Linked DNA regions of Caenorhabditis elegans. The protein of the gene in region 1 binds, or shares a complex with, the protein of each later gene. Each region holds a gene or a part of one and is shown on either strand. Other genes may lie near its edges. The genes, in order: eif-3.H, eif-3.F and eif-3.K.

What was found.
Region 2: eif-3.H (region 1) and eif-3.F share a complex: the UniProt entries of both Caenorhabditis elegans proteins name them as parts of the eukaryotic translation initiation factor 3 (eIF-3) complex.
Region 3: eif-3.H (region 1) and eif-3.K share a complex: the UniProt entries of both Caenorhabditis elegans proteins name them as parts of the eukaryotic translation initiation factor 3 (eIF-3) complex.

What each region holds. Positions count from the first base shown.
Region 1 is NC_003279.8:4,442,906-4,446,659, reverse strand, and holds eif-3.H (Eukaryotic translation initiation factor 3 subunit H), read right to left. Parts: upstream 1,942-3,754; 5' UTR 1,931-1,941; coding exon 1,814-1,930; intron 1,769-1,813; coding exon 1,646-1,768; intron 1,600-1,645; coding exon 1,404-1,599; intron 1,357-1,403; coding exon 1,257-1,356; intron 1,208-1,256; coding exon 913-1,207; intron 671-912; coding exon 404-670; 3' UTR 47-403; downstream 1-46. Other genes in the region: C41D11.3 (Cysteine/serine-rich nuclear protein N-terminal domain-containing protein), read left to right, coding at 2,318-2,374, 2,504-2,593, 2,643-3,116. UniProt on the Caenorhabditis elegans protein: Component of the eukaryotic translation initiation factor 3 (eIF-3) complex, which is involved in protein synthesis of a specialized repertoire of mRNAs and, together with other initiation factors, stimulates binding of mRNA and methionyl-tRNAi to the 40S ribosome.
Region 2 is NC_003280.10:9,329,605-9,333,358, forward strand, and holds the start of eif-3.F (Eukaryotic translation initiation factor 3 subunit F), read left to right. Parts: upstream 1-2,038; 5' UTR 2,039-2,057; coding exon 2,058-2,210; intron 2,211-2,639; coding exon 2,640-3,154; intron 3,155-3,208; coding exon 3,209-3,347; intron 3,348-3,754. Other genes in the region: wbp-2 (GRAM domain-containing protein), read left to right, coding at 170-286, 383-761, 1,262-1,473. UniProt on the Caenorhabditis elegans protein: Component of the eukaryotic translation initiation factor 3 (eIF-3) complex, which is involved in protein synthesis of a specialized repertoire of mRNAs and, together with other initiation factors, stimulates binding of mRNA and methionyl-tRNAi to the 40S ribosome.
Region 3 is NC_003283.11:12,952,322-12,955,861, forward strand, and holds eif-3.K (Eukaryotic translation initiation factor 3 subunit K), read left to right. Parts: upstream 1-1,680; coding exon 1,681-1,856; intron 1,857-1,903; coding exon 1,904-2,102; intron 2,103-2,281; coding exon 2,282-2,375; intron 2,376-2,427; coding exon 2,428-2,634; intron 2,635-2,743; coding exon 2,744-2,790; 3' UTR 2,791-2,908; downstream 2,909-3,540. Other genes in the region: pqn-68 (D-aminoacyl-tRNA deacylase), read left to right, coding at 317-373, 417-620, 676-867; mpst-7 (Rhodanese domain-containing protein), read right to left, coding at 2,966-3,121. UniProt on the Caenorhabditis elegans protein: Component of the eukaryotic translation initiation factor 3 (eIF-3) complex, which is involved in protein synthesis of a specialized repertoire of mRNAs and, together with other initiation factors, stimulates binding of mRNA and methionyl-tRNAi to the 40S ribosome.

The DNA.
Region 1 (3,754 bases):
GATTGGATTGTGATTCCGGTGAATTTTAGGTTTAGGTTGTTTTGTTTTTGTTTCACAAATAAATTTTTTGTTAACTTTTTTGATTTACTGATTGAAAAAACTTGAAAACTCAATTAAAAAGAACAATACCAATAGAAATTTTAAAATCTTAACTTACTATTAGTCAACAACAAAAATTCATCCGAAATAGGGGAAGGTGGAAAAGGATACCAGAAAGGAATTTCATACGGCAAAAAAATTTGGATGAAAAACAATATCCCTATATTGAAAGTGAGACATTATTTTATGTCACTAGTTTTATGTAATATGAAATTCCTTTCACCGAGAGAAAAATATTTTAGAAAAGAAAAAGTAAATTAAAGGGAACAGGGAGGAAACAAAAACACGAGTATATTTGGGAATCTTAACGAGTCGATGAGACAGAGCTCAAAGTTCTGTCTTTTGTTCCGGCGACTTTCTCCTCAGCAACAGCTTCAGCGATGAACATTTTCGTGATATTTTCGCTGGTCACAGTCTTCGAGAAGTCAGCGAGAGCGTTGGTGTCAAAACTGGCGAGAAGCTCATCCAAAAGTCCATTTCTTGTTTGGAGTTGTGGAGCCTTGATTCTCTTGATGTCATCCATTGGAATTGTTGGATCACCACGGGCCACACGTGATTCGTTCTCCTGTTGCTGAAATTGGAAAAATATAAATTTTTAATGATAGAGATTTTTTTTTCGAAAATCGTGAATGGCACCTTTATTCCACCGAAAATGTACCCCTCACATCCGGTTTTATAGTTAGTGGAGCCTCGATATGTTGGAAAATGGTTTTCAAAAAACAAGACTTTAGGTTTGAAAGCCGTTACACTTCGGAATATAAATTTTAGCGATACAATCAGGATATTTTTAATTTCAAAATTCGAAATTCTTACTCTTTTCTGCGTCAGACTGAACACCATATTATCATGTCTTTGCTTGTCAATAGTGTACTTCGTCAACGACTGAATTGACTTGTTCAGCTCATCAACATTAGCCATCATAGCTCGGACCGACTTTTCAAGCGACTTCTTGGATCCCAAATCGAAGTGTCTCGTGGAGTACTTGTCAGAAGAGCATGATTTAGCGAGTGAAAGCTCAGACATGAGAACATTGTTGAGATATGAGGATTTGATGATGATTGGCAACTCCTCGAACATGTTCTGGTATGTCAAACCAGCGGCTTTCACCCTGAAAAGATATGTCTTTGCAAATATATTTTTAAACTCAAAAACCATACAATTCTGGTCTCCAGTCATTCTTTGAAGCGAGATCAAGAGCAGCGGTGGAAAGACGCCAGGCTCTTAGAGAAAGCTGTCCTTGGCGAGTCTTGATTGGATCTGAAAGCAATTAGAATTAATTATTTATCCTCATTAATCTGTCTAACCATAAATAAGAACAACATTTTCTGGGCCCATAGCCTGGTAATCGAACATAGATTCTACGAGATCGTGTGAGAAACCGGCTCCGAATTGATGAGACTGATAGAATCCAACGATTTCGTAATCGATATTCATTGTACGGAATTTGCGGAGCATGTCAAGCATCTCGTGTTGCTTTTGCTCTTCGTATTGTTGAGCGGCCTATAATAGAAAATATATTGGAATCACTAGCATGAGCTAATTTTACATTAGCATCGTCATCCATAACTGGCTCGTTGCGAACTGTTGGGAAGCAATTGGTGATTTCCAAGCGAGAATCTTCAAGGAAAACAAGACCGGTGAGAACTCCGGCACAAGCGTCTCCAGATACCTGTAAATTACATGTTAAGCTTGAAATTAAATTAAAATAATATACCTCACTAATTCCTGCATGAAGTTCACTGTCCACGTGCTTCACAATTTTCATAACCACAAGCGAATCCAAAAGGATATGCTTGACGCTCGGAGCGGTAATTGTCACTGCTGTCGACATTTTTGATAACCCTGAAAGATGAGCATTTAGTTTTTCAAATTTTCTAAAGAACAATAAACAATAACATGCATCTCACAAGAGGAAAAATCAATAATCTAAGCATCACGAATTTTTCGAAAGAAAATTAAAAATATAAATTTCAGAAAATTGGCGAGAAAAACCTCAAAATAATCAATAAAATCTTGAAAATAGGAAACACTCCACGAAATTAATTCCTTCCGTTGTTGTGTGCAACTGCGCGTCAATTGTAGTGCATGCACACAATTGCACACCGTACCCGCGCGTGATCTTTTGATTTGAATTCAAATTTTTGTCGTTCTTTTGTTTTTGGGATTTACTTTTTAAAATGCTTTTTGAAACTTTTTAAGAGAAATTGTATATTTTCAGATGCAATCGAGTGCATCCAACGACCCTAATAAACCTACAAATAATGAAATAATAAAGGTAAGCGCATTTATGAAAAAAAAATCAATAAAACACAATTCTTAAATAAACTAGCTTTATTGGAATCCATTTGAAGATTTAATATTATAACCAAATGCATATTAAAAAATAATTGTAAATTTGTTTCAGACACCATTGGTTCCACCAAGTCCACGTGGAGGATTAAAACGAATGGCGGGAATGAGCCAATTGAAATCGACTTTTTCAATTTCTTTGGAGGTAAAACCCTCAAGTTTCCAGCATTTTTGTTTAATAATATTCATAATAGTCTCAGAGAACAATCCCACCACCATCATCGTCCTCATCCTTCCTATCCCATTCAACATCGATGGTTTCTGTAGCAGCGAGTCTCAAAAGAGCCGGTGTACCTAGTCTAACTCGAACAAAGACTAGTGCATTACCCATAAAAATGGAGAAAAAGCCAATGGTTCCATTGCGGATAGAACAGGACCACCAGACACCGATCCGAAAACTGGCTCCGGAGAGTATTCCAAGCCTGGAAGATCAAGTAACACCGCCAATGCGTCGATCTAGTAGTGGATCAATGCTGTTGAGACAGACGCCTGAAAGGATTCGAAGGCAAGAAGAAGATGTGGAAACACCTGGTTCTCCAGTTAAAAGATACCGAAGATCCGGGTCAATGCCACGATTAGAGGCCCAGTCCCTTGATGTTCCAATACGAATGGAAATTGGAAATAGCTTAACTCCTGTGTTAAAGAGGAAGAGAACATCTTCATTAACGGTAATATATTCAACTGAATCATATCAGAGCTGGGCGGCAAATTTTTTTTCGAAAAATTCGGCGAATTTCCGAAAATTTGATTTTTCGGCAAATGCCGATTCGCCGGAAATTTCAATTCCGGCAATCTGAAATGTTTTCCCGTTTTTCTAGATATTTTCATAGAATTTCCTTACTTTTCAAAATAGAAGTAGGAACATATTTTTTTATATTACGGGAACACAAAATACTGAGAACGCGTATTACACAACATATTTGACCCGCAAAATATCTCGTAGCGAAAACTACAGTAATTCATCAAATTACTCCTGTAGCGCTTGTGTCGATTTACGGGCTTGATTTTGGAAATATCTATCGATGAATAAATAATTTTAATTCATTTCGAGAATCGAGCCCTTAAATCGACCTACAGTAGTCATTTAGATAATTACTGTAGTTTTCGCTACGAGATATTTTGCGCGTCAAATATGTTGTGAAATACGCATCATCAGAATTTTGTGTTCCCGTAATAGGAGGCGTACAATTTCGCGTCTTTAACTTGAAATTCTGAAGTTTCCAATAAAAAGTGCAACAGCACAGTTTGCCGAAATGCCGGAAATTTCAATTCCGGCGATTTGCCGATTTGCCGGAAAAAATCGTTT
Region 2 (3,754 bases), on another chromosome or scaffold:
TTGTGCTTTTTCCCCAATTTTATAATTTTTTAAAATTTAAACGAAGATTTTTCCCTAAACTAACATTTTCATTTGTTTTTTTTTCGTATTATGCTTCGGTTTTTCGATAGAAAATCCGCTTCTGGGTACCTTTTTTTATCCTGCTACCACTTGTTTAATTTATATTTAGATGTCCATCAACACGGCGAACACGCCGGACGGACTTGGTGTCCTACTGTATAATGGAGAAACCATCGTGATTTTTGCACAAGGAGTAGTAATGACACTAGGAACCAGTGAAAATGAGGTAATTTATTGCAGTATTTTTTTCATATCTTTTAAACACCAAAAATCTTCATTAGCACAAATGCTGAAAATTATAATCATATTTTCGAATTTATAGAATTTGGAAGGACGTCGAACGGGAACCATCTACCTCACATCACACAGAATCATTTTCATGCCAGACCCTGGAGATTGGCTGAAATCATTTGAAATTCCATTCAACAGTATGCAAGATGTTAACTTAAACCAGCCGATTTTCGGAGCCAACTACCTATGTGGAATCGCCTCGGCTGTTCAAGGAGGACAAATGCGCGGAGAGGTTAAATGGAGAATGACATTCAACAGAGGGGGATGTATTGAATTCGGGCAATCTCTATTGCAAGCAGTCGAAAGAGCTGTTCGAATGAGACCAGAGAATGCTCCACCTGCATATTCTCCACCAATTGGAGATTTCTACTCTGCACCGCCAGCTTATTATCAGCCGTCGCCGGATCAAGGTAAGATTTTTTGAACATTAAAAATAATCCTGAATTCGAAATTAAAATTACCTAAAAAATGTTAAGCGTAATCATTAGAGATTTGTATGAATTTGAACATTTTTCACTTTTTTGAAAAACGAAAAAAAAAGGAATCCAAGTTTGAAACATTTTTTAAAATTTTTTAAAGATTAATTTTTAAAAAAACGAGTTTTTTCTTTTTTTTTTCGATCACTTTTTGTTTAAGAGAGATTTTTTGCTAAAAATACCAAAAATCTTCAGTTCTGGTCAGACAGTTTTGCAAAAATGAAAACGTGCTCTAATGCAACTTTCTTCCACCTCGTTGCATTTTTGTTTCACAATTTTGTTGATTTTTGAATTGATTTTACCATCTTTCTTTGGATTTAATGGTTTTCTTATCAAATTCGTTAGAAAAATAATATTAAACCGCATTTAACTTTTTTTTTATTTTAAAATTATTCCCCGGTTAATCCGATTAATAATAGATTTCACATTTTCAGGACCAAATGGTTTCAATCCAACCACCGATTCGTTCCCAGATCAGCCGAACCCATCACGAGTTTTCATGAGCTCAGCACCACCACCATATCCAGGAATCGGACCAGAACGCGGCCCACATCCAACTGAAGAACTTCATGTTGCTGGACAATTTGAAGCACCACCAGCTTATGGTTCAGGAGAAACAGCCGATGGATTGAGGCGAAGAAATTAACTTGTAAATTTAACAACAAAAAATGACATTAGAGAAAGTGTTTAGTTCAAAATTATGGGGAAACACGTAGAAAACAAAGCCAATTTACCCATAATTTTTTTCCGCATCGAAAAATGATTCCAAATAAGCTCAGAAGTCTAGTTGCACACAAAAACTATCTAAAATTCCACCATTTATTTTTTGTTTTTTTTTTTAATTTTTGCACGTCTCTCTAAAAATCTCATGTGAATATAAGTAAAAGTTGTGATAAAACTATAAACTTTCGGTAGACTAAGTCTATGCCCTCTCTCTCTTGATGCCCCCTCTCGTTCCCAGGATAAAGTATATATGTATAAGTGGAATTATATCTCTTTCTCTGATTCACAGAACATTTATTTTATTTTCTCTTTTTTTTCGTTGAAAAACACAATTTTTCTTTTAATTGTAAATAAATAAATAATTTAAAATATTTATTAAGAACTTTATATTTTTTATTGATTTTTTCAAAACCATTTTTCAGTTTTCAGCTGAATTTACTATTTTGATTCAGATTATTTCTTTAATTTAGTTTTTTTTTCAATTACAGGGTTCAGAAAAAAGTCAATATGGCTTCGAATTTAACTGTCAATGTCCACCCGGGAGTCTACATGAATGTTGTCGACACTCATATGAGACGTACCAAGAGTTCTGCGAAAAATACAGGACAGGAAAAGTGCATGGGAACACTTATGGGATACTATGAGAAAGGATCGATTCAGGTAAAAATATTTATAATTACAGAAAAAAGAGCCTAATTTTTTGAAAAAACTGAAATTTTGCAAGCTTATTGGTGTCTGGAACTGTATTTAATCTAATTTTTTTAATTTTATGTAAATACCATCGACCGAAAAAGTATCTAAAACAACGAATAAAAACTCAAAATGACCGAATGCTCAAGTGCTCACACAAAAATATGCCAAAATTTTGAAAAAAGTATACTTTCAGCTAAAATCTTCAATTTTGCAAGCTTTCCCGTGTCACAAAGGTCGGAACTTAATAATATTCAATTATTACAATTTATTGCATTTTTGTGGAACTAGAAGCAAGTTCTGGCCGCTGTAACCCTGAAAAGTTTGCAAAATGGATGATTTTCGCTAATAATATTTTTTTTGGAATTCATGATATTTTCTCCAATTTTTATTTTCCAGGTCACAAATTGTTTCGCGATCCCTTTCAATGAGAGCAACGACGATTTGGAAATCGATGATCAATTCAATCAACAAATGATCTCTGCATTAAAGAAAACTTCTCCAAATGAGCAACCAGTTGGATGGTTCCTTACAACATCTGACATTACTTCTTCGTGTCTCATCTATCACGACTACTATGTACGTGTCATCACTGAAGCATCGGCTCGTCGTGAATCTCCACCAATTGTCGTTTTGACAATTGACACGACTTTCTCTGGAGATATGTCAAAGCGTATGCCAGTTCGTGCCTATCTTCGCTCAAAAGCCGGAATTCCTGGAGCTGCTGGACCACACTGTGCTATTTTCAACCCACTTCGTGTCGAATTAGCTGCATTCCCGGGAGAACTGGTTGCTATGCAACTTATCGAAAAAGCTTTGGATTCCAGAAGAAGAGAGGCAACTCTTGAAAGTGGATTGGAGCAATTGGAGACGAGCACAGCTCAGATGATTGAGTGGTTGGAGAGAATGTTGCAGTGAGTTTTAACATTTAAAATTATCTTAATTGGAGAATAAACCGTGATTTTCAGTTACGTGGAAGATGTTAACAAGAACGGTGAGAAGCCAGGAGATGCTCAAATCGGTCGTCAACTCATGGATATTGTCACTGCCTCGTCAAACAATATGCAGCCAGAGAAGCTCGATACTCTTGTCAAGAATACTCTTCGTGTAAGTTTTCAGCCAAAAATATTTAAAAAGCGAGAAATGAAAAGTTGTGTAATATTCGTACGTGATTTTGAAAATTTCGAATATCTTGATCAAAATAGTTTTTTTTAATAACCTCAAAAAGTTTTTTTGTTGGAAATTAGTAAAGTTTATACGTTTTTCAGTTTAGTACAGAATTGTTAGTTTTTTTTTCTCAAAAATTGAGGAAATTAAATCTTTAGCTAAAAACACGAAAAATCTGCAAATTTAGGGAATGCCTATACATTTTCTGTGCCGCGCGAAACCCGGTAGATGTCGGGATATGATATCCGCTACCCTCCCGAATTTGAAATTAGCGTTTCCAATTTTTTGAAATTTATGCATACAATTAAATTGTCTTTATTATTATCTCAATTAGAGCATTGCACAAA
Region 3 (3,540 bases), on another chromosome or scaffold:
AAGGCTATAGCTGCTACAGTCTACCGTATCATCGATTTCTGCTCAAATTTAAGAACTCCTGTTGAAAACAACGGCAAGGTGGCCAGCAAGCAAACCGCGAGAGAGTTGGTACATTTCTTGTGAAGGAGACCGTGTACAGATTCCACGTCGCGCTGGCCGAGCCTTTGAGGACTAGTAATACGGTGGAGTGTCGTTAGCGCGCTCTGTTTAGCAAACATTTTTCATTTATTTTTAGGGTTTTCAAGAGAACATTTCAATAGTTTTCATCTGTTTTTTTTTGTATTTTTAACATTAGTTGTTTCAATTTTTTTCAGAAATGAAGGTAGTTCTTCAACGAGTTACTCGAGCTGCAGTCACCGTAGGTGATGAAGTGGTAAGAATATATTAACCGTTATTGTTTAAAATATCATAATCAGGTAGGTTCCATTGGAAGAGGTCTGTGTGTGCTTGTCGGAGTTCATCGAGATGACACGGAAGAGGATATGAAGTATATCATTAGGAAAATTTTGAATCTACGAGTTTTCCCTGCTTCGGAACAAAAACCATGGGATAAATCAGTTATGGATCTCGATTTAGAAGTGCTGTCTGTCAGTCAGTTCACCCTTTACGGTCAGTTTAAAGTGAGTTTTGTCTAATATACTTAAACAAAACTATTCATATTATTTCGTTTTTTAGGGAAATAAACTGGACTTTCATACCGCAATGGCCCCAACAGAAGCTTCAAAATTTTATGCTTCTTTTCTTGAAGCCATGAAAAAAGCTTACAAAGCTGATAAGATTCAGGACGGCAAATTTGCAGCAATGATGAGCGTCGATATTGTAAATGACGGACCTGTTACAGTTACTTTTGATAGTAAAGAAAAATAATAAAAATTTGTTTTACTACTGTTGAATTTTGTACAATTTTGTTCATACAGCGGTTTGATTCCGTCATCATATCTTAATTATTTTCATATATTTATATTCTCTGGCAAAACCTCATATTACGTATACCTTAAATGCGAGTTTTCAATATCTTACGCACATTGGTCTCACCACGCAGACGACGACTTACTGTAACTTTTGTCGATTTATGGATTTTGCATTAAATTTTGATTATATAAATCGTAACAGAAATTTTTCCTTTAATTTGAAAATTATGAGGCAAATGTGGCCCTTAATTTGACACCAGTTACAGTAACCCGATATCAGCGTGGCGAAACCCATACGCTGAGTTTTCCTCTAACAATAGTTTTTTCTTATTTCTAATGTAAATCTCATTAAAAACTGAAAAAAAAACTTGGAAAAACGTCTCCATTTCAGTTTGTCTGATAGCAAATCGAGTTCACTGAAATCTCTTAACCCAAATGGGGAGTGCCTCTAAAATCGAGGAAGATCTGTGCAGGATATGCCTTCAGATTTATTCGATGCGCCTTTAAAACTATTGTTATTTTGATTGAGAAAATTTTTTTTCTTTCTCTTAAATATTTTTCTATCAGTTTTGATGTGTTCTGTAGCTTTTTTTCTAATTAATGGAGAAACTTAGCGTAATTTTAATCGATTTGACAAAAGATGTGCGCAACTTTATGCAAGATTTTTTTCACTTTGCGCAGGACTTCATCGAGTCTGTTCAGGAGTTTCACTCTACTTATTATTTCTCGCAGAGTTTCTTTTCTTCAATTGCTATAATTTGTTTTTAAGATGTCGTTCGAGAAACTGCAAAAGGAATTGCACGAAGCTATCGAAGGAGTAAACCGATACAATCCGGAAAATGTTGCCGACTTGGCTGCCTGCGTTCAAGCTATGGTCAATGAAAACAAGTACGATAAAGATATCGTTTTGACCATTCTCAAGCTCTACCAGCTTAACCCGGAGAAGTAAGTATTCAAGAAGATTAATAAATTTCAAAGAGAATTTTTCACAGGTACGACGAGGCTGTTGTTCGACAAGTTTTGCTCAAGACGTTGATGGTTTTGCCATCGAGTGATTTCGCTCTCGCCAAGTGTCTCATCGACACCAACAGACTCGGATCTCAAGAACTTCGCAGAATCTTTGATCTTGGAGCTGTGCTCGAATCTTGCAACTTCGCTGTTTTCTGGAAATTGGTGAAGGGGGCGTATAAAGTGAGTTTTTACACTTTTCAAAGAATAGATTTATCTAATATTGAAACAAGTGAGCTTTTCAAAATCAAACCTTGTTTTGTGTGCATCTGAAACTCAGTATTTATTTCAATGCTGAATCTATTTATTTTTGGAATATTCTTTAATTTCGGCGTACGACTAATCAATTTTTAAAATTTCAGCCAACAACGAACCCAAATGAACCCTTCAAAGTTCCTGGCGAAGTCCCAAAAATGATCAAGCCAATGGTCGGATTCGAGGATGCTGTCAAGCACTGTCAGTTAAATATTATTTTTATTGCTTGACAATTTCAATACCAAGTTTTCAGATGCTTGTCGCGTCATCAGTGTTACGTTCCAAAAAATCGAAAAGAAAATGTTGAGCCGTCTTCTCGGCGGAGCCAGTGACAAGGAAGTTACCGCACTGGCACAATCATTCGGATGGGAAGCCAAGGAAAATGGAGATGTTTTCTTTGTTGCAAATCACGAAGGAACTATCAAAACAAGAAATATCGACGAGAAAATTCAATTCCCACGTGAGTATTATGCGTATTAGGTTTTTCAAACGATTTAAAAAATGTCCTAATAATCGAAGAACAAATTTAAAATGCCTAGTAAAATCTCAAGTGCATCTATCATTTTCAGATGTCGCCGATCTTCTGACCAGCATTCAACCCCCGTTGACTCTTTAATATCAATTATCACTGTCATTCAAATTATAATACCCTTGTTTCTGTTGTTCGGTTTTCCCCCGTTTCTATTCCCTTTCCTATTTATATTTCCTTTATGTTTTCATGAACTTTATTCAATATTCACTTTTACCCGCATTTTATGCATATAATATTTAACATGGATCTTCTTTTAGCGTCAAGTCTCCGTCGTTGCTCCGATGACTCTCAAACCGTCAGGTGCTCTGACTACCCATTCAGGCCACCCGCCAAAATAGATCTTCCCATTGTAACCAGATCGTGTCAAAGCCCACCAAACCATTGCCGATCGAAGTGACGTGGAACAGTATATAATCTGAAGAATATGATCTAGCGAGAAATATTATCATAATTTCAAAAGATTTTAGCATGTCTTCTCGAAGACGCATGGATTCATCCAGATTGGTCTCGACGCGCAAATAAGTTTATGGTACTTCTTTAATTTTGCATTTTTCAATGAAATTATCTTGTTTACAGGGTGGGCCAAAAGTATGGTAACACGTTTGCAGCTCTATAACTTTACTAGTGAAGAGAGTTATTACATCAATTTGTACAAGTTTTGTTCTCCATAAAATACTGACCAGATGAACGTTTTGAATTTTCAAAATGTTCCCATCCGCATCGCTGCAGGCCTTCAGAACTTTTGAGATCACGACCTTTATGGCACGCAAGTCGGCATTCTGCGGTTTTTCTACATTTTTCTCGAGGAATCCATCAAGTGTCTTACAAGTTTTA